4 linked regions of the Drosophila melanogaster genome follow. Changing the gene in region 1 together with any one later gene gives a genetic interaction. Each region holds a gene or a part of one and is shown in the gene's direction. Other genes may lie near its edges.

Evidence for each region.
Region 2: of Mlf (region 1) and Su(fu), changing one enhances a phenotype caused by changing the other (phenotypic enhancement), as found in Drosophila melanogaster (one study listed by BioGRID).
Region 3: of Mlf (region 1) and DnaJ-1, changing one enhances a phenotype caused by changing the other (phenotypic enhancement), as found in Drosophila melanogaster (one study listed by BioGRID).
Region 4: of Mlf (region 1) and lz, changing one suppresses a phenotype caused by changing the other (phenotypic suppression), as found in Drosophila melanogaster (2 studies listed by BioGRID).

What each region holds. Positions count from the first base shown.
Region 1 is NT_033778.4:15,935,353-15,941,956, reverse strand, and holds Mlf (Myelodysplasia/myeloid leukemia factor), read left to right. Parts: upstream 1-1,883; 5' UTR 1,884-1,991; coding exon 1,992-2,047; intron 2,048-2,122; exon of another isoform or gene 2,123-2,182; intron 2,183-2,506; exon of another isoform or gene 2,507-2,597; coding exon of another isoform or gene 2,598-2,647; intron 2,648-2,699; coding exon 2,700-2,920; intron 2,921-2,978; coding exon 2,979-3,510; intron 3,511-3,689; coding exon of another isoform or gene 3,690-3,702; exon of another isoform or gene 3,703-3,842; intron 3,843-4,077; coding exon 4,078-4,278; intron 4,279-4,630; coding exon of another isoform or gene 4,631-4,670; exon of another isoform or gene 4,671-5,263; intron 5,264-5,373; coding exon of another isoform or gene 5,374-5,376; coding exon 5,377-5,497; 3' UTR 5,498-6,064; downstream 6,065-6,604. Other genes in the region: CG8299 (uncharacterized protein), read left to right, coding at 474-1,256; bug (bunker gear), read right to left, coding at 6,117-6,604.
Region 2 is NT_033777.3:12,689,336-12,693,328, reverse strand, and holds Su(fu) (suppressor of fused), read left to right. Parts: upstream 1-1,860; 5' UTR 1,861-1,890; coding exon 1,891-3,297; 3' UTR 3,298-3,456; downstream 3,457-3,993. Other genes in the region: CG31347 (uncharacterized protein), read left to right, coding at 779-1,210; Arp1 (Actin-related protein 1), read right to left, coding at 1-114, 174-325, 385-559, 622-686, 1,460-1,507.
Region 3 is NT_037436.4:5,749,521-5,753,787, reverse strand, and holds DnaJ-1 (DnaJ-like-1), read left to right. Parts: upstream 1-1,598; 5' UTR 1,599-2,194; coding exon 2,195-3,199; 3' UTR 3,200-3,759; downstream 3,760-4,267.
Region 4 is NC_004354.4:9,282,753-9,287,663, forward strand, and holds the start of lz (lozenge), read left to right. Parts: upstream 1-1,896; 5' UTR 1,897-1,984; intron 1,985-3,034; 5' UTR 3,035-3,168; coding exon 3,169-4,030; intron 4,031-4,911. Other genes in the region: c11.1, read right to left, coding at 41-197. UniProt on the Drosophila melanogaster protein: Involved in prepatterning photoreceptor precursors in the developing eye; in the larval eye disk it defines a subset of cells as an equipotential group that is competent to respond to the sevenless developmental signal and another subset that confer proper photoreceptor identity by positively regulating the homeo box gene Bar.

The sequences.
Region 1 (6,604 bases):
GTAAATAAATCTCAGCCTGCTTTTCCAACACCACTTATCTGAAGACACGATTCCATGGAGCACATGGAGATTGAGATTACAGCCATCGACTAGACGCCTTCGTCATTCGGGACGATTAAAGTTCAGTGGCAAATGAAATAGAGTCGATCGATGACTCAACGGATCGCTTTGCTGATAATCCCCATTTGTGTTCTCCTTAGCTGGCCAGTTGACTTTTTGGTCAGTTGACTTTCTGGCCAGTTGGCTTTCTGGCCATTTGGGTCTTTAGAAGACCACCGCCCAGTTTATAATGGATATAAAACGAATTGAGCTGCAAGTCGTATAAACTTTACGATATCATAGCAGAAGTTTATGAAAATCCAAAATACCAATCATGGATGATCGCTAAATTCGCCATTTTGGTGATAAGTGATAAGCTGGCTACTCCAGCCCTATATAAGAGACCTAAATCGAACCACACTTTAAGTTTAACCATGTCGCTACGTTTGGGTTTGTTTCTTTTGGCTGCACTTGGTGTGGTAATTCTCACGGATTCCGCCTCCATAAGCACCCACATTGTTGGTGGCGATCAGGCGGACATCGCTGACTTTCCGTACCAGGTGTCCGTTCGCCTGGAGACCTACATGCTGCTCCACATCTGCGGTGGTAGCATCTATGCACCACGGGTCGTCATCACCGCCGCCCACTGCATCAAGGGACGCTATGCCTCGTACATCCGGATCGTGGCTGGTCAGAACTCGATTGCCGATCTGGAGGAGCAGGGTGTTAAGGTCAGCAAACTGATCCCCCATGCCGGCTACAATAAGAAAACGTATGTGAATGATATCGGTTTGATCATCACTCGCGAGCCATTGGAGTACTCAGCCCTGGTGCAACCCATTGCTGTGGCCCTGGAGGCACCGCCGTCGGGTGCCCAGGCCGTTGTAAGTGGTTGGGGCAAGCGGGCTGAAGATGATGAAGCTCTGCCCGCCATGCTGCGCGCCGTTGAGCTGCAGATCATCGAGAAGAGCACCTGCGGTGCCCAGTATCTGACCAAGGACTACACGGTGACCGATGAGATGCTCTGCGCCGGCTATCTGGAGGGCGGCAAGGACACCTGCAACGGCGATTCCGGTGGACCCTTGGCCGTGGACGGAGTCCTGGTGGGTGTGGTGTCCTGGGGCGTGGGTTGCGGCAGGGAAGGATTCCCGGGTGTCTACACCAGCGTCAATTCCCATATCGATTGGATCGAAGAGCAGGCGGAGGCGTATCTCTAAAAATGTGGATAGCTTCACAAGCACAACGCGAACAAATAAATCGAACAAATTATTATTTTACCACAATAATAAATATGAAATGAGCATTTAGAAAACATGGTTTATAATATATTTACAAATTAATATACGGTGTTTAACTCTTCATTTCAACTGGTTTTCCTAATCAAAAACCTTTTTTATCTGACCATTACATTGGAATCTATAAGCCATTCTCGACGATTTATATAAAAATAAAATTATTACCCAATTGGCATAGGTGAAGGCAATTTATCTTGAGGAAGGGAAAAAGTACAATGTAACTAACCATAAATTTTATACTTTACAAAATCGTTTGATTGCATCATTTTAGAATAACTCAATGCAGAAATTAAAATTATAAAATATGTAAATGTGGCTTGAAGTATCATTATTATTTATTTGTGACATTTATATTTGACTTGATGCAATCAAATAATATCCACAATATTAGAAATTTACCGTTTGCAGATAGTTTAACGTATTCGAGTAAGATTACATTTGTTTAAATCTTAAAAATTTAAAATAATTAGGAAGATTTTGTTTTTAAATATTAACGGCTTCTGGTATTTTTTAGAGCTAGTATATACTTTCGTGGTAGACGTCGCTGGTATTTAAGCCAGTAAGATTCAGCCACACTGACAAAGAAAATATTCGTGAAAATTCTGCATACGGAAAGAAGAAAATTCGAGCAACAGAAAGCCAACACAATCCACAAAAATGTCTTTATTCGGAGCGTTGATGGGTGATTTCGACGACGATCTCGGCCTTATGAAGTAAGTACCAAATGGCGCAAAAAAAAACTAAATAAATGCGGCTCGCCCCGCAGAAGCCCCATATATTTCCATACGTGTGCAGCTAACGAAGCCCTCTTGGGGCGTGGAAAAACAGCCAAATAATCGCAAAACAAGGTGTAAATCATTAATTGGCCCATAGGCACACAATTAGGCCAATTAAACATATTTACGTGCCCAAAAATTAGCAATAAATAGCGTGCCAAAATTAACAGTAACCATCGGAGTGTGCGTGTGTGTGTGTGCGCAGCATGCGTGAAGTGAAGACGTAATAATCGATAATTTGAATCGAGCGACCGCAGGGAAATGGAATTGGGGAAAATGCACTAGCAGGCGTTATTTCAAAGGTTTCGCCCTGTCACTGGGACTTTTGATAAGGCCCAACCGCAAAGTGACCCATGTAAAGGCAGGCTATCAGACCCTATTTTATGTATATACGTAGGCTACGCTGCCTTTATCACTATACTGCGATATTTGGCCACAAGTCATTTAGTTTGGCTTTGTTTAAAACTTAATTTCGGCTCAGTTTAAAATGAAACAAAAACGTAAAAGCAAATCAAACCGTTCACAAATGGAGCTCCAGTAACTCGCACATCAGTCAAGTATCACTAAGTTACTCATCTTTCGTTTGCAGCAACCACATGAACCACACTATGAACGCGATGAACATGCAGATGCGCTCGATGAATCGCCTGATGAACAGCTTTATGCCCGATCCCTTCATGCAGGTCTCGCCCTTTGACCAGGGATTCCAGCAGAACGCTCTCATGGAGCGTCCGCAGATGCCGGCCATGCCAGCCATGGGCCTCTTCGGCATGCCCATGATGCCAAACTTTAATCGCCTGTTGAACGCTGGTGAGTATTCAATGGTCTTTCGCCGTTAAGAGCACCATACAAAACCATTGTATTTCAGATATTGGTGGCAATTCAGGCGCATCCTTCTGCCAGAGCACCGTGATGACCATGTCATCGGGTCCCGATGGGCGTCCTCAGATCTACCAGGCCAGCACTAGTACCAAAACAGGACCGGGAGGCGTTCGTGAGACCCGCAGGACGGTGCAGGACTCGCGCACTGGGGTGAAGAAGATGGCCATTGGTCATCACATCGGCGAGCGGGCACACATTATTGAGAAAGAGCAGGACATGCGCTCAGGACAACTGGAGGAGCGCCAGGAGTTCATTAATCTGGAGGAGGGAGAAGCCGAGCAGTTTGACAGGGAGTTTACATCGCGCGCTAGTCGCGGAGCGGTGCAGTCAAGACATCATGCTGGTGGCATGCAGGCCATCATGCCCGCCCGTCCAGCGGCACACACCTCGACGTTGACCATTGAGCCAGTGGAGGACGACGACGACGATGATGATGACTGTGTAATCCAGGAGCAGCAACCGGTTCGCTCCTCCGCGGGCCGCCATTATTCCAGTGCGCCAACGGCACCGCAGAACAGGTGAGTGAGAAGGGATTAACGTCACATCTACACCCGAATCCCTGTTCCGTGCGCGTGATTGTGTAGGATTAGCCGACTAGCATTTGCTGAAGCCCGCCCGATCCGAAGATTCCCCCAACTAACCACACCTCCTCCTCACACAACTGTTGCTAAATTGAAACGTTTGTATTTACTTGCAGATATAATTACTAAATCTAAAGTCAATACAGTATATTTTACTAACTATCCGATAAAACAGAAACAGAATTGCATACTATAAATTTCTGCTAATTACATTCCCAACTGCGTTCAAACGAAACGAATATCGAATCGAAATCATAGAATGCACAGAGGTAGGCGGCAACTTAAGCTCTCAACATCTTTCGTTTGTTCAGTTTTCGTTTTGCCCACGACTTATTTCGTTCGCCATGATCTCTCACCCACTCACGACGTACAAATGCTTCGCGTTGAATGAACTGGATCGCCAACTAGCATAGTCCCAGACCCCCAAAAGTATTGTTGTAATCTTTTTCAACTTTTCTTCGACTCGATTCCATACTACGACAACTACCTACGACATCGACGCAGTGGCAACATTGCAACAGCAGCAGCACCAACACCAACATCCTCGCCAACAACCTACGATACAAGCAACGGAAACAACAATAACTACGTGAGCTCTCGTCGTTCGTACCTGCGAAATGGGCATGGGCATAGCCTGGCCACGCCGCGCCGCCCACTAAGGACACCCCCATCCTCGCCGCTGGCTACGGTGTCCACTTCTCCAAGGTTTGTTCAGTTGGGATCGGCAGGAGCCGGCAATACGGGATTAACCTAGTTACATAGACTATGTCAGCTTCGAACCTCATTTCTATCTGCTTGTATAGTCCTAACCGAAAAACGTCTTCGGACAGCCGAAGTTTGATGCCGGGGTTTTGTGGTCCGACAAATGGTTGACAACGCTTTTGTAACAACAACGTTAATGATTTATTGAAACCAATACTGCTTATTCTTTTCGAACTCGACTTCATGGGTAGCAACGATCTTGATCTTCTAATATACCATTTACCCAAGTGTATTAACGACATATCGCTCTCTCTTCTCTTCTCCATCAACATTTTGTACTTTCCAAATCATGCAGAGATTGGCGTATTTATAATTCGCGGTACCACCGCAAGTAGAGCGGATACAGTACCAAATACATAAAATGAAACCTATGCTAATCCAGATAAATATCATAAGTAATAAAGTCAACAACGAGAAACACTCGACATTCGGCTGTCTTCGACGTAACTACATGCACTCTACTAACCGAAGGCGCCACCAACGCTACGATCCGCTCAGCTCAGCTCCGCTTCATCGCCACAAGTACTTCGAACTTCGAACAGCAGCAACACCACATCTACGTGCCGTGCCGGCAGCTCAAGACTATGGCCGCAAGCTACGTGTAAGGCCGCACCTTCCCATACACATCTAACTCTCTGTCTGCATACTCGCATTTTGACCCGCCCGAAAGAGCATCGCCTGCCTATCCGTATAGCATGTAGACCGCAATCTGCGAGAGCCACACTCGACGATATACCACCACACTACGCGACGCCCAATTGGCCATCGACGATAATCAAAATTTGAACTATGTTGCTGCTGCTGTTGCTGCGCCACCACTGAACGACATAATGCGCGAATCCTACGAATCCATCACTCGCTTGCCCACATCATCCATTAATGCTCCCTTTGACCTTCTCTTCCTGTTAATAAATTTTCACTTGCGTTCGAATTGGCCTGTGTACGAATGATTATTATGTATACCTTTTGTTTTGTATTGTGCCTTATTCTAATTAATCGTTTCTGTTAATTAATGAACATTTGTTTCTGCTCCGCCAGCAGCATACATCCACATCCCTATGCCGCCAATCCGAGGCGCCAACAACGTGCCGTAAAACATTTTCACACGGAGGACGAAGCGGCCAGCTCCTACAAGGCGGTCAAGCGCGGCAAGAAGAAGTAGTAGAAACGTGATCATCTGTATGCCAACATCTTCCGCATCGCACACTCAAAAACACTAGGAAGCAAAGCGTTGGGTTCTGTTCCATAGCAGGAAAACCAATTCAAATATTTTTTAACAAACACAATTCTTTACCAGTTCTGTCTTATCCTGCGTGAGTCGACCAGAATGCAACACTAAAAAATGTACAACTTCAAGATGCTATTGATGTGCACGCAGGATACAGAACAACTTGCTTAAATTTACTTAAAACAAATGTGACTATTCAACGCCGAAATCATTACAACACACACTCTCAGACCTAATCGAAAAATTCAATGAAAGTAATGGAATATATATGAAATCGTAATTATAAGTTTGAATTATTTGATTAATTCTCAAGTTTTTAGATTTTGTTAGCCACTAAGCTTTAAATTATGGATGCCAGTTAGCGTGCAAATGAACACAATTGATTTGAAGGCTCCGAACGATAGAAAACAACAATTACCAATTCCCCAAATACATGTAATTCGTAAGGCCTAAGTAAATGTTAACGTGAATTTAATTAAATGGTAATTACATTATAATAGTAAATCCAGTGTTCTACTTATGCGACTTATAGAGAATTAAACGTATTAACTAACTAGTCCACCATCTCCATTTGCGTCTCCTCGGATTCCCGCCAAATGCGCTGCACCATCTCTACCAGCTGCTTCCAGAGCGCCGTCTTACGCAGGAAGTTGGCAAGGCAGACGAGAATAAAGGCCCAAGCCAGGCCCAAATAGTAATCCGTCTGCACAATGGGTTTATTAGACAGCGGCTCCATCTCTGCGCGAGTGAGGATGATCGGATCAATGGCCTGCGGATTCACAGTCTTCATATTGGTGTGACTCATTATGAAACTGGCAAAGCTGCTCTTTGTGTCCTTCCACCCGGGCTCGAATTTGATTAGCGGCCTGCCCTGGTGGAATAGCATCAGTGTGGGCAGCGAAACGATGCCGAATTCTGCATTGAAACGACCAAACTCATAGGCATCCACATAGGCGATGGGTAGCGTGGGAAAGTAATGGGGCAGCACGTTGACCATCGAAGCCACACGAGCGCACTCCAAGCTGGATGCGGTGCAGAAAT
Region 2 (3,993 bases), on another chromosome or scaffold:
ATGTCCACGCGCATAATACTGTGAGGCATGGCGAATCCCTCGTAGATAGGAACCGCATGCGTCACACCGTCGCCGGAGTCGAGCACTACGCCAGTCACACGACCGGTGGCGTAGCTGCAAGAGTGTGGTTAAATGAAATCGATAGGGGCAGTTCGTGAGATTGCAATGCTTACAGACTGAGCACCGCCTGCATGGACACAAAGAGCGCAGGTGCATTGATGCCTTCAAAGAAGAACTCGGCTGCCTTTTCGCGGTTTCGGCGCGGATTAAGCGGGGCCTCGGTCAGCAGCACGGGATGATCCTCCGTGAAGGTGGCCAGTTGTTCCTGGTCAATGCCATTTAAAACATTTAGTTAAGATTATGGAACATTTATGGACAAATTACTTTGCTGTAAATGTAGCTCCATATCCGCTCCATGTCATTCCAGTCGGTGACAATGCCGTGCTCCATGGGGTACCGGATGCTAAGCAGGCCACGGTGCTCCTCCGCCTTGGGTCCAACGAATATGTCGCCCTCCAGCGCACCAGCCATCACTCGGACATGCTTGGGCCGGCCAATGCTGCAGGAGAAGGCATTAGTTCTAGGGGTTCTTAAGGTTCGTGAGTGGTCCACGGCACTTACTAATTGGGAAACCTGCATTTTGGAATGTGCTCACCAGCAAAGCCGGCTTTGATCACACCGGAGCCCTGTCAAAAGTGATGTGGAATACATTTAGTTAGTTGCGTCAGCTTATTTTATTTAAAATTCAACGTGCAAACAGGAAATCTATATAGTCAACATGGAATCCTTTAGTGTGCCGGAAGTGGACATGATGACCGTGTCAAAGAATTCGCAATACGAACGGGAATCGCTACTAAAGTTCGCACCGCCAGTTGGACTGACCAACATCAGCTACGGCAGCTTGTACAAGGTGGACTCCTTCTATTTGGAGTGCCAGAAGTACCGAGATCAATTCCGCGATCCCTACAACAAGCTGCTGCGCCCCAAGATGTTCAGCACATACAGGGGCAAGTGTGGTGTGAAGATAGATCCCGAACTGGAGCGCTTAAAGCGACCCGCTGCCTCCCATGTGGAGTCTATTCCCGTGGTTTACCCAATGGAGTACGGGCACCAAATGGACTTCGACAGAGGCTTCCAGATGCAGGGACGCAACAGCAGGGATGCAGCCACCGCCCGCAGATATCCGTGTGTGCGTGTGCTGGGCAGATAAAGGGATTCCACGCAAGCTTTATAGACCAAATTCCCCGTTTTCGCTGTCTTCACTTCCGAATTGAACCATCTCTGGCGTTTGCGGAGCTATTCTCTCTGGGATTAGTCATGTTGGCCATTTGAAGACGGCTTGAAAGCTCGTTGACAAAGGGACGGGCGGTAGGTGATGTCACTGTTTGCTGGCTAAAACTTTGGGAACCCTAGATTTGCACAAAGCTACCCGCATTTAATGAGCCCCATCTCCACTTACGTTATCTATGACGACGGGCTGGTTGACGACGACATCATAAGGCTCCATTTTGTGCGTTTATCAAAATTTGCAAATTTTCTATTAAATAGTTGGTCAACAGGGTGACCGTAGGTGGTTGGCAGAAATAAACAGCATGTAAAAATATACCACGGCAAGAAATACTCAATATTTTACATGGTGGTGGTTTAAAGCTATATGGATATATATTTTCACTGTTTTTCTCTACATTTTAAAAATAAGCAGAAAAAAGTAAGAAAGTAATAATTATTATAAAAAAGGTTTTAAAAATAAATAATGGTTTTAAAAGAAACTCATGTAAGTTTCCATTGTCAAATCCGCACTTTACATGGCAGTATTTTTATTCATGGTATATTCAAGCGGTGGTATTCCGCAACGTTCCAACTGAGGTCATACTGATCAAACTGGATGAAATGGCCGAGGCGAATTTGGACAAAAAACCTGAGGTGAAGCCTCCGCCGGGCCTTAAGGCCATCATAGACCACCTCGGGCAGGTGTACCCCAACCAGCCGAACCCGCTGCAGGTGACCACACTGCTCAAGTACTGGCTGGGCGGTCAGGATCCGTTGGACTACATTAGCATGTACAACTATCCCGGAGATGTGGATAGGAACGTTCCGCCGCACTGGCACTACATTAGTTTCGGACTCAGCGACCTACACGGGGACGAGCGAGTCCACTTGCGCGAGGAGGGCGTCACTCGGTCTGGCATGGGGTTCGAGTTGACCTTTCGCTTGGCCAAAACAGAAATAGAGCTAAAGCAGCAGATTGAGAACCCGGAAAAGCCCCAAAGACCGCCCACCTGGCCGGCGAACCTGTTGCAGGCCATCGGACGCTATTGTTTTCAAACAGGCAACGGGTTGTGCTTCGGAGACAACATCCCGTGGCGCAAGAGTCTGGATGGCAGTACCACTTCCAAGCTACAGAACCTGCTCGTCGCCCAGGACCCGCAGTTGGGCTGCATCGACACTCCCACGGGCACGGTGGACTTCTGCCAGATCGTCGGCGTCTTTGACGACGAACTTGAGCAGGCATCGCGTTGGAACGGGCGCGGTGTGCTCAACTTCCTTCGCCAAGATATGCAAACTGGCGGTGATTGGCTGGTGACTAACATGGATCGCCAGATGAGCGTCTTCGAACTGTTTCCCGAAACGCTGCTAAACCTACAGGACGATCTGGAGAAGCAGGGTTCCGATCTGGCCGGCGTTAATGCAGATTTTACGTTCCGTGAGCTGAAACCTACCAAGGAGGTGAAGGAGGAGGTGGATTTCCAGGCGCTGAGCGAGAAGTGCGCCAACGACGAAAACAATCGGCAGCTGACGGATACGCAAATGAAACGCGAGGAACCAAGCTTTCCACAATCCATGTCGATGAGCAGCAATTCGCTGCACAAGTCCTGTCCCCTGGACTTTCAAGCGCAGGCACCAAACTGCATTTCACTGGACGGTATTGAGATTACCCTCGCACCTGGTGTGGCCAAGTACCTCCTACTGGCCATCAAGGATCGCATCCGACATGGGCGCCACTTCACCTTCAAGGCTCAGCATCTGGCGCTCACTTTGGTGGCGGAATCCGTCACCGGCTCGGCGGTGACAGTGAACGAACCGTACGGCGTGCTGGGCTACTGGATTCAGGTCCTGATTCCCGATGAACTGGTGCCGCGCCTGATGGAAGACTTCCGCAGCGCGGGCCTAGACGAGAAATGCGAGCCCAAGGAGCGACTGGAGCTCGAGTGGCCCGACAAGAATCTGAAGCTGATCATCGACCAGCCGGAACCTGTGCTGCCCATGTCGCTCGACGCTGCTCCTCTGAAAATGTGATGGTGTCCATTGGTTAGCTAGTAGTTATTTAAATTAATCGAATTGAATCTTCCACTAACGAGTAAGTTTTACATTTATACATCTCATCTAACACAATGCACGTGGCCTTTGCTCCTCGCCGGAGTCCAGTCAAAATATACAAACACATACATATACCCGAAACCACTCGACGGGCCTTTGATCGCAATATGAAAAGAGGAAGCGCCGGCGCCAGGAGCGGCGAACAATTCGCCGGATGAGTCAAGTTGGGGTCAGGCTATTGAGCACTGGAACAGTTCGCTTTGGTGGCTGCGGCGGATATGGCCACTTGCAGGCGGTGGAAGTCATCGCCACCGACTAACCACCAATTGATGGTATTGCGCAGTGGACCGCCGAATGCTTCAGTTTCTAATTCTGGGAATTGATCAATTAGAAGAGCATTCAATTTGAACACAAAATCCCGCCCGGGATCATGTGATTGCGCGAGGAACTGGACCTGGAGCAGCTGCATCATCAGCCTGGCTGATGGGAAACCCTTGACGCATCGCTTGTCTGAGCGTTGCCTAGGTGAATTTTTGTTTACCGCAGAGAACAGTTGCTCTGCTTCTCCGATTAGGCGCCCCTCATCAAGTGAGCGAGCGATTTTTCGCAAAAACAGCTCGTGGAAAATAATTCAGTTTTCTTCATTCCGCCGCCGACGACGCAAGCGTTCGGTTG
Region 3 (4,267 bases), on another chromosome or scaffold:
TCGCCGCACAATGCAGTGGGTGGGTATTTCACTGGGGGGAACTTTTGGGTCCCTAGAACCCAGACGGATTACTCAATGAATATAGGCGATATGTTTGGGTTTACAGCGAAAGTGCTATTAATGTCGACCGTATGCTCTCTTCGATGTGCCAGCTCTCTATTTGCGGGAATGAATGACTATTTTTATGGGTCTGCCGTCGCTGCTACAATGCTGCATTGCTGCAGTGGGACATCCTTTGAACAGGCGCCATGCCAAAGGATATTCTTTGTGGAAGGGGGGGGGGGGGCAAGGGTTAAGGGTCACATTCGTTTGCGCAATACTTCCAGCGATGGGGCGGTGAACGGTGGGCGGGGCGATCGGTCAAGGCTTCGACTGTGGAACGTGACACGCATATGTCGGCCGGAGTTTGGCCCAAAAAGTGGCCCCAATGGTTGTCCTTCGCGCTGGCAATTAGTCCCTAGCAAGGCGCGTCCATATTTTGCAAAAATTCGTGGGGCGCCTTGTTTTCTTCTCTCTGTATGTGTGCATGTGTGTGTACCTCCGTCTCACTCACCTCAAGTGTGTGTGTGTGTATGAAAATACTGCGGTATACGGCTGCGTTTGTGTGTGAGTGTGGGTTTCGGCTCTACTCTCCCGATGATCCTGCTCCTCCGGTCCTAATCCCGGCCTGCTCGGCTGCTCCTGCGTCCTGACTGCGCTAGAAATTCGCTTAAAACGAGCCTCGACGGGTCATTTTTACAATTGTTTTTTGTTGTTCCGTTCGGCTGTTTTACCAGACGTGCTCGTTCCGGTGTGACTGCCCGCCGCTGACTGTAAAATACTAAACGCATTGCAGCTGTGGCAATGCCCAAGTCTTGGTCTTACGGTCACACTGGCAAAGTTTAAAAATTTATTTATTTCAACTTTCAGTTACTTTTCGTTGGCTTGAATATTACACTAAGAATTCAATTTGACACTTGCAATTTATACATTGTATATTATAATATATTATATGTATTATATTTTATATCATATAAAGATATTTATATCTATTGATCTTTTGATTATAAGCTCTTTGGTTGAACAATATAAGTGCAACTTTCTCCATCACCTTCCTATCTTTTTACAATATGCTTACCTCGTCAATACGTTTTTTCTATTTCAAATATTTCAATATTTCAAAGAAATATTTTGTTTATTTTTCTGTGTGTTTTTAAGCAATCTGACCCCTGTAGAAGAATCCCTTATAATATTAACAAATGTATCCTCAAAATAGATCGATCTCTATCTTCGCAGACTTACACGAAACATTCCAGAACCGATAGTTTTATGCGATATATGAGATTTAAGGAGTACTTTCCGCATTTCGCCATCACAGTCACGCTTTCCTTGGCATTTGCAATCAAATAAGCGCTAATAATAATCGTAAAAGCATAAGAAGCATATAAAGAAGAGTCACCGCCAAAAGCATGCACAAATATATATAAATGGGGAGCGATTTAAAAACAGTGCACTGTGTTTAAAACATCGACAGCTATCGGTTAGCATATCGATATTGACATTCGCAGTCAAACGTTTTCGAGATACAACCCTAAAATCCGAGAAGCATCCAGAAATTTCGACGTAGACGAGGGCGAACCTATAAAATGAGGTTGACGCACGAATCCCGCTCATTATTAAACAAAATTTTGAAGAGAAAGAAACTCTGAAGTAGGGTGTGTTTTTAGTGCGCAAGCCACATTTGGTGGATAAAGAAAAAAGCGAAGAAGAACAATTGAATTGAATCAATTGCGAGAAAGAGACAAAACTCATAAATATTTAAAGAACATTGCCCCGTGAAAATATAAATAGTGTGAATACACAGTGAACAATACCAACAATTGCACTTTGCCATTGCATTTTGCACTTTTCCACTTGGATTTTTGAACTTTTACGGATTCCCAGACAATCGCTTACATTTAAGGTAAGCTTCGTTGGACATATTGCCACATGTGGGCGCATCGATTTGATCTGCTGAAAGAAGCACATCGGGAGCGGAGCTCTCGTTGATGGTGACTACATACGTCACTCGCGTGACAACACGGCAGTTGCACAACTGTGCTGTTCTGTGCTTCTAGCACTTTCCATCGCCCCAACCCAGCAAGCTGGCAATCAGTATTCATTCTAATCTATAGCGTTCGTTCGTTTGTGTTTCCCCTATATTTTCAGCTGAGAGATGGGCAAAGACTTCTACAAGATTCTGGGCCTCGAGCGCAAGGCCAGCGACGATGAGATCAAGAAGGCCTACCGCAAACTGGCACTCAAATACCATCCCGACAAGAACAAGAGCCCACAGGCGGAGGAGCGCTTCAAGGAGATCGCCGAGGCGTACGAGGTGCTGTCGGACAAAAAGAAGCGCGACATCTTCGACAATTACGGTGAGGATGGATTGAAGGGCGGACAGCCGGGACCAGATGGCGGCGGTCAGCCGGGAGCGTACACTTACCAGTTCCACGGCGATCCGAGGGCCACATTTGCCCAGTTCTTTGGATCGTCGGATCCGTTTGGCGCGTTCTTTACCGGCGGCGATAACATGTTTAGTGGCGGTCAGGGCGGCAATACCAACGAGATCTTCTGGAACATTGGCGGCGACGATATGTTTGCCTTTAATGCCCAGGCACCCAGTCGCAAGCGCCAGCAGGATCCGCCCATCGAGCATGATCTGTTCGTGTCGCTGGAGGAAGTGGACAAGGGATGCATCAAGAAGATGAAAATCTCACGCATGGCCACCGGAAGCAATGGGCCGTACAAGGAGGAGAAGGTGCTGAGGATCACAGTGAAGCCGGGCTGGAAGGCCGGTACCAAGATTACCTTCCCCCAAGAGGGTGATTCGGCGCCAAACAAGACGCCAGCTGACATCGTCTTCATCATTCGCGACAAACCGCATTCGCTGTTCAAACGCGAGGGAATCGATCTAAAGTATACAGCCCAGATCAGTCTGAAGCAGGCCTTGTGCGGAGCACTGGTTAGTGTGCCCACGCTGCAGGGCAGCAGGATACAGGTGAATCCGAACCACGAGATCATCAAGCCCACCACAACGCGCCGGATCAACGGACTGGGTCTGCCGGTGCCCAAGGAGCCATCGAGGCGCGGCGATCTGATCGTCTCCTTCGACATTAAGTTTCCCGACACACTGGCACCCAGTCTGCAGAATCAGCTGTCCGAGCTGCTGCCCAACTAGGCTAGAGCTGTGCCAGCCACACACACACACACACACACGCATATAATTGTTATCACTTTAGTTAAGGCCTATATTTAATTTACCGTACGTACTCGTAAGACAACTTAGCCTAACCAATTGTAGCCCTAAGCTAGTGAGTGTGCCAAGCGAAGAGCTGTAGATATTGGCCGAGGATGCAAGCGCTGGATAGGATTAGGAAAGAGAACAACACACACACACACACACACATAAAGCAGCCCGTGTAGCCCGTTTCGTGTTGGAGACTGATCGATTATTAGCTATTTAGCATTACACAAATTCCATAAGTTGTTTTGTTTACCGCCACATGAATCGGTGCCTCAACATCTTATACATAATAATCCCAAAACAAAATATTAAATAAATGAGGTATTATAAATTTAAAGTAACTAACCATTTTTCAAGCAAAGCACATTTTCGGCATTCCAACACGGGGAGGTTACATCAGTTAGTAGAACACTTATAGATTTATACGCCGTAAGGACATAGTACGTTTTAGTACCAATTCTATTATGTTATAAACAATAAAATTACTTATACACACATCAAGTGTCGTTTCTGGGTCAGTGGGTTGCAAGCATTATAGAAATTGCTAGATTTCACGTGGTGGCAATCAAAATGTGGTGGCTAAAACCAAAACAACATGTATTGCTGGCAATTTCTTCTATTTTTAAATATATATAACTAGCGCGCCAAACAATTCAAAAGTCTCCACATGTGGAAACTTCCAGAGGGCAACACGCCACCTGGCGTGTATAGATCGTGTGTTACATTTCAAAAACCATCTGGCATCACTGGCAACGTTTGTTTAAAACGTCGAGTGGAAAAGATGAAATTTAAAATAAAATCGTTGTTTAAAATCCTTTTTCCAAAACCTGAAATCCCCGAAAGCCAAAAAGAGAATCAATAAAAAGAAATTCCATGTTAATTTTATTTTAAATTTCACATTTTATTTTCATTTGTTTTCTCTTCAAAAGGATTTCGTAATTTAATCATTTGTCACACATTTTCACTATCCTTATGTTGAGTGTTAAGTTGCATTTGCAATTG
Region 4 (4,911 bases), on another chromosome or scaffold:
CCCTTTGTTTTCATTTTCATTTGCATTTTCGTTTGCTTACCTTCCAGAATCGTTGGCTTATCATTGGGCGCCGCTGTGGCGGTAGATGCATCGGCATTTCCAGTGGCGGCGCTATTTCCAGCAGCTGATTTGTTGTTGGCGGATCCTCCCCCTGTGGCAGCACCACTACCACCGCCGCCAACCCCTCGGCCGTCCATCTTCTTGGTGGAATTGCGCGTTCTCTTCCACTTCTCCAGCTTAACGGGATTTCAGACAGCGATTAACTTTAACGCGCACTTCGCGATCGCGGAAAAACTCGGAAAAACAAGAGATTCACTGCGTTGCGAAATTGTTTGTGTTTAAAACGGGTGGCTGCACTCACATAGGGGAAAAACGGCTGTGGAAATTTTAGTACGTTTTTTATCAACACCATGGACTAGTTGGGCTTCCGAACATGGTGTGTGCCCTCACTGTTCAGTGGTGGCGCAAACCATAGATGACCATAAAAATGAAATTCAAATGTACTGTGTATAAAATAATAGTTATGCATACAGTCTCGTTTTATTATACGGAATTAGCAATTAAGTAAATTTTAAATTTTAAGCTACACAGGCAGTACAGCATACTAATACAATATTAAAGGAAAAAACGCTTTTGAGGTAGTTTTGAAAGTATTTGAGAGCAATTGAAATGCTTAATTTTAATCACTTGATAGCACTTCTGAAATTAAATAGCATAGACATTTGATTTTCTCGCAATTTCTGCCCTCGCAGATAAGCTGACGTTCTTCTCACGCTATTATATTCCCAGCGATAAGAACTATTTCCCTTCGATGTGATAAGTCGGAGGTAAATTTAAAATAAACACTTTTTAAAATCATAAGAACTCTGCGTTGTTATTTTAATTCGATATCAGTATTTCGACCACAAACCAAGGCTGAACCACAAAATATGGCCCAATGATAGTCTCTTATCACGCCTTTCCTTCGCTAAAAAGAACACATGTCATTTGGAATCCTTGTTTTCTTTGCGCTAGCAACAACACACAGTTTTTAATTAACACTTTTTGCGATAATAGCAGATTTGATAAGCATGTTAAGTATCAGTTTTAAAGTAGATTCTCTGATTTTCATCTCTAATATCCAAAATGTATCTATATGAATACAATTTTCCATAAGTGCGTTTTAAATACATGTATGTTAAATTTTAAATAAAATAATAAAAAAAAAAACACAACTTATTTATTTTCTCATGAAAATCTAATCATATCCAGCTCCTAAATATTTTCGAAATTTCCCGGCTGAACAAGAGCGCCGCTCTTAAGTCGTCACGCTCTCAGCTGATTAAAGAGAGCGCGCTTAAATGCGATTCCAATTGGAAGTGGTTGCAGCCGGTGGTGGATGAAAATGTGTCCACCAATGGCGCGCCTCAAATGCCATGTCCACCTGACCAATCAGAATCCGGGGGCGGTGCCAAGTGCAAGGGAAACGCAGGAGCGAGCGAGAGGGAGAGCAACTGTTTATTTGATTAAGCATTTAAATTCTATTATTTTTAGCGAAATTTATTAAAAATTTGATGCAACAGCACTGCGTGGAATGGTGACTTGTCACAATGCACATACTAGGCCATGCATTTACAGAAGAGCAAGAGAGAGAGAGAGAGAGAGAGAGCGAGCAACTTAAGAGACCCAAAACGCCCCGGCCAAAGAGAGTCGTTCTCGTTCCAATTGGCTCGCGAGGCAAGTGGAAAAACGATTGGATTCGACTCAGAGCCGAGCTCAATCGTCTCGCGAAATTCAAGCGGCGCAGTCAAAAGTTAAAAGTCAGTTTCAGTTATGTTTTGGAGTACGACGCGCGAGCATTATTGTTTCCATTGTTAGCGAAGTTTTTAATCGACTGAAAGAAACACAAGAAAATAACACCTCGCTTACGTGTTAACCCTTTTTTTTTGTAACTTGTGCTTAAGTCACTTAAAGAAATACCGAAGAAAGTAAACTAAGTGTGTGTGTAAGTGTTAAACAAAGTAGTAAACAAAAAGCGCGCCAAAATCGGCTAACTTTTAGTTATTAACTCGAATTTCGTCACCAACTAAATTTAAACAAAAGAGCGACACAGTTTCGCCAGAAACTTGCATTCAAACATATTGTTAAACAGTTTTACATTAAACTAAACACAAACCAAAGTGCTATTAAGTGCAGTTAGTAACAAAATAAAAGTGATAAATGGTGACACAAACGAATTAAGGCAATGTTTTTATGACAAAAACTTAAGTTCATATTTTTTAAGGCTTTATTTTGCGACTGTGAAATAATTTGTTTACTTTGTTGCTTGTTCTCAAACAAATAATATACAATAGTAATTGTAAAAGCTTCTTATACATTGTTTGAATAAACAAATAACTGACTCTTTTACAACCATTTATGATTACTTGGGAGATCAGTTGTGAACATTAAATGTTTATATTGTACTATATTGTTTTTACACCGATTCCCAGAAATATCATCAAAGTTAAACTCGAGAAAAGGAGGCCCGTCTGCGAATCGGGAGTCAAACATAGAGTATTACTAATTAGCCGAGTGAAGTGCAAACAATAAAAATATCCAAATCAAACGAAATCAAATTTAATTAAGTTCAGAAATCATCTGGCAAAAGCATGCTCAAAAAAGAGAAAGAAAAAACAACAATAGCAACAAATGCACCGCTAATTCCTGTGACTAATTTATCAAAGTGCGAACTAGCAAAATGTCGATCGTCGTAGTACTCGCAGTTATTTAATATGTATTCAGAAAGGCAAACATATTTTTAATCATTTTTTAAATTTATATATATTGTTTTTTGCAATTATTTCTTTATTTAAACGTACGCCAGTGAACTGTTTCTATATGTACTTTAATTAAATTGCTTAATATGAAACAAATTTGAGATGTTGTCATGGATTGTTTTTAATGAATCGATCGGCATTTTAAGTTTTCAATTAAACACGAATCTTTCTCATATCGTAAGTGCAATTGCAAACAATTGTTAAGTACGCTTTTTTTTTTCTGTGAATTCGTTTAGAGATTAGAGTTTATTGATGAGTGAACAAAAGACACCGCCGGAGCGAAGTGTGATAAGCGCTTGACCTGCGACCCGCACACACTGCAAGAAAAAAAGGGGCAAGCGAGCGGATCAAAGGTCACCGCCGTCGACGAATGCATTTGCATCTCCTGGCGGCAGAGAAGACGCCTCCATCTCCATCTCCAAATCCAACTCCAACTCCATCAGCATCTCCATCTGGGCATACGGGCGCTGCTGGGGAGTCGCAATTGGACTTGGCATCGCAAACGGAATCGCAATTGCAGCTGGGCTTGCCATTGGCTTCCGGATACGGACTCGGACTCGGATTGGGACTGGGCTTGGGATTGGGACTGGGCCAGGAATTGGTGGCGGACCACAGCACCACTGTGGCGCCCGTCAGCGTTGCCGGTCCCGGCCGCCTGGGTCGCAGCATCAACGGCAGCGGCGGCAGCCACCACCATCACCACCTGCACCACCACTACTCACCGTACCACCACGCCCACCCCTACCACCCACCGCATCCGCACGCGCCCCACCACCACCACCACCACCACCCACCGTATCCGTATCCGCCGGCAGGACCACATCCGCCGGCCATGGTCACATCGTCATCCACATCGCCGACGGGCAACGGCTGGAGCAGCTCCACCGGCGACTTCAAGGGCATCACAGCGGTGGCGACGGCCACTGGCGGCGGCGTAGGTGGTGCCACCCAGGGCGCCACTGCATCCACGGGCGCCACAGCCGCTGAGGTTTTGGCCGTTTCGAGTAGTGCCAGTGTTGGCAGCAGCTCGCCCACAGGTGGCGCCAGCAATGGTACAGCCCATAGTGGGCATAGTGGACACACCGGCGGTCACAGCAGTAGTACCGCCAGCAACAACAACAACAACGGTGCCAGCAATAGCAATAGCAACAATAACAACGCCGTTCACCAGGATCTATTGTGGATGGAGCGATTGGTACAGAAGCGACAACAGGAACATCCCGGCGAATTGGGTGAGTTGTTGGTGGGATATTACCAATAACCTAGTAGTAACACAGTCTGCAAAAGGGTTAAGGATTAATAGCTACCTTAATGTCCTTCAAAATCAAAGTGAATATGAAGATATAGTCTAACTGGATTTGTAATTTCCCGTGAACAAAATTGATTGAACAGAGGGATTTAGCTTACTAACTGTAAATAGCAAATTCTTTGCTACCAGATTCCCAATATGATCTATGGTTCTTGATATAATATATCTTATGAATATAAGATTGATAGATAGATATATATATCAAGGCAAGCCTCTGCGGAGACAGCTCTTCCATTCACAAGGTATCAGCATCTTTAGCTCGTGTCGAGGGGATCTGGTGGATGCTTTGCAGGTCTGTTCGATAATCCGATCCCCGAAAGGTGGAGCGCACATTCTTGCCACATCCTTGCACAATGCACTTCTGGGGCTTCCACATCGTGGCAATCACGATCATCGGACGCAGCCTTATCGGATTCCATGGGTATGATGATCGTGATGATGATACCGATGGCGATGATGATGGTGATGCCAGTGAAGATGGGACTGGCATCGCCGTCGGAATATGCGTAAATTGATATCAATAATTGTTATTGATATCAACGCACGAGTCGTTCCCCTTTTTTATTTTGTTAATGCCACCTTTTTTTTTTTTTTCTTATTCCTTGCTGCCCGTTGAACTTTCCTCCCGATTTATCAATGATATCAATGACCCAGAGCGAAAGCTGCTAATGAAATCTCAGCTCATCGCACCGTCAGTCTTGAAATTAGCTGGGGAATCCGCAAACTGGTTATCCTATATGATTTTTTTTTTCACTTCTGAGTCCTTTCATAACTTGTGCTCAATGGATAGCCTTCATATCGAAT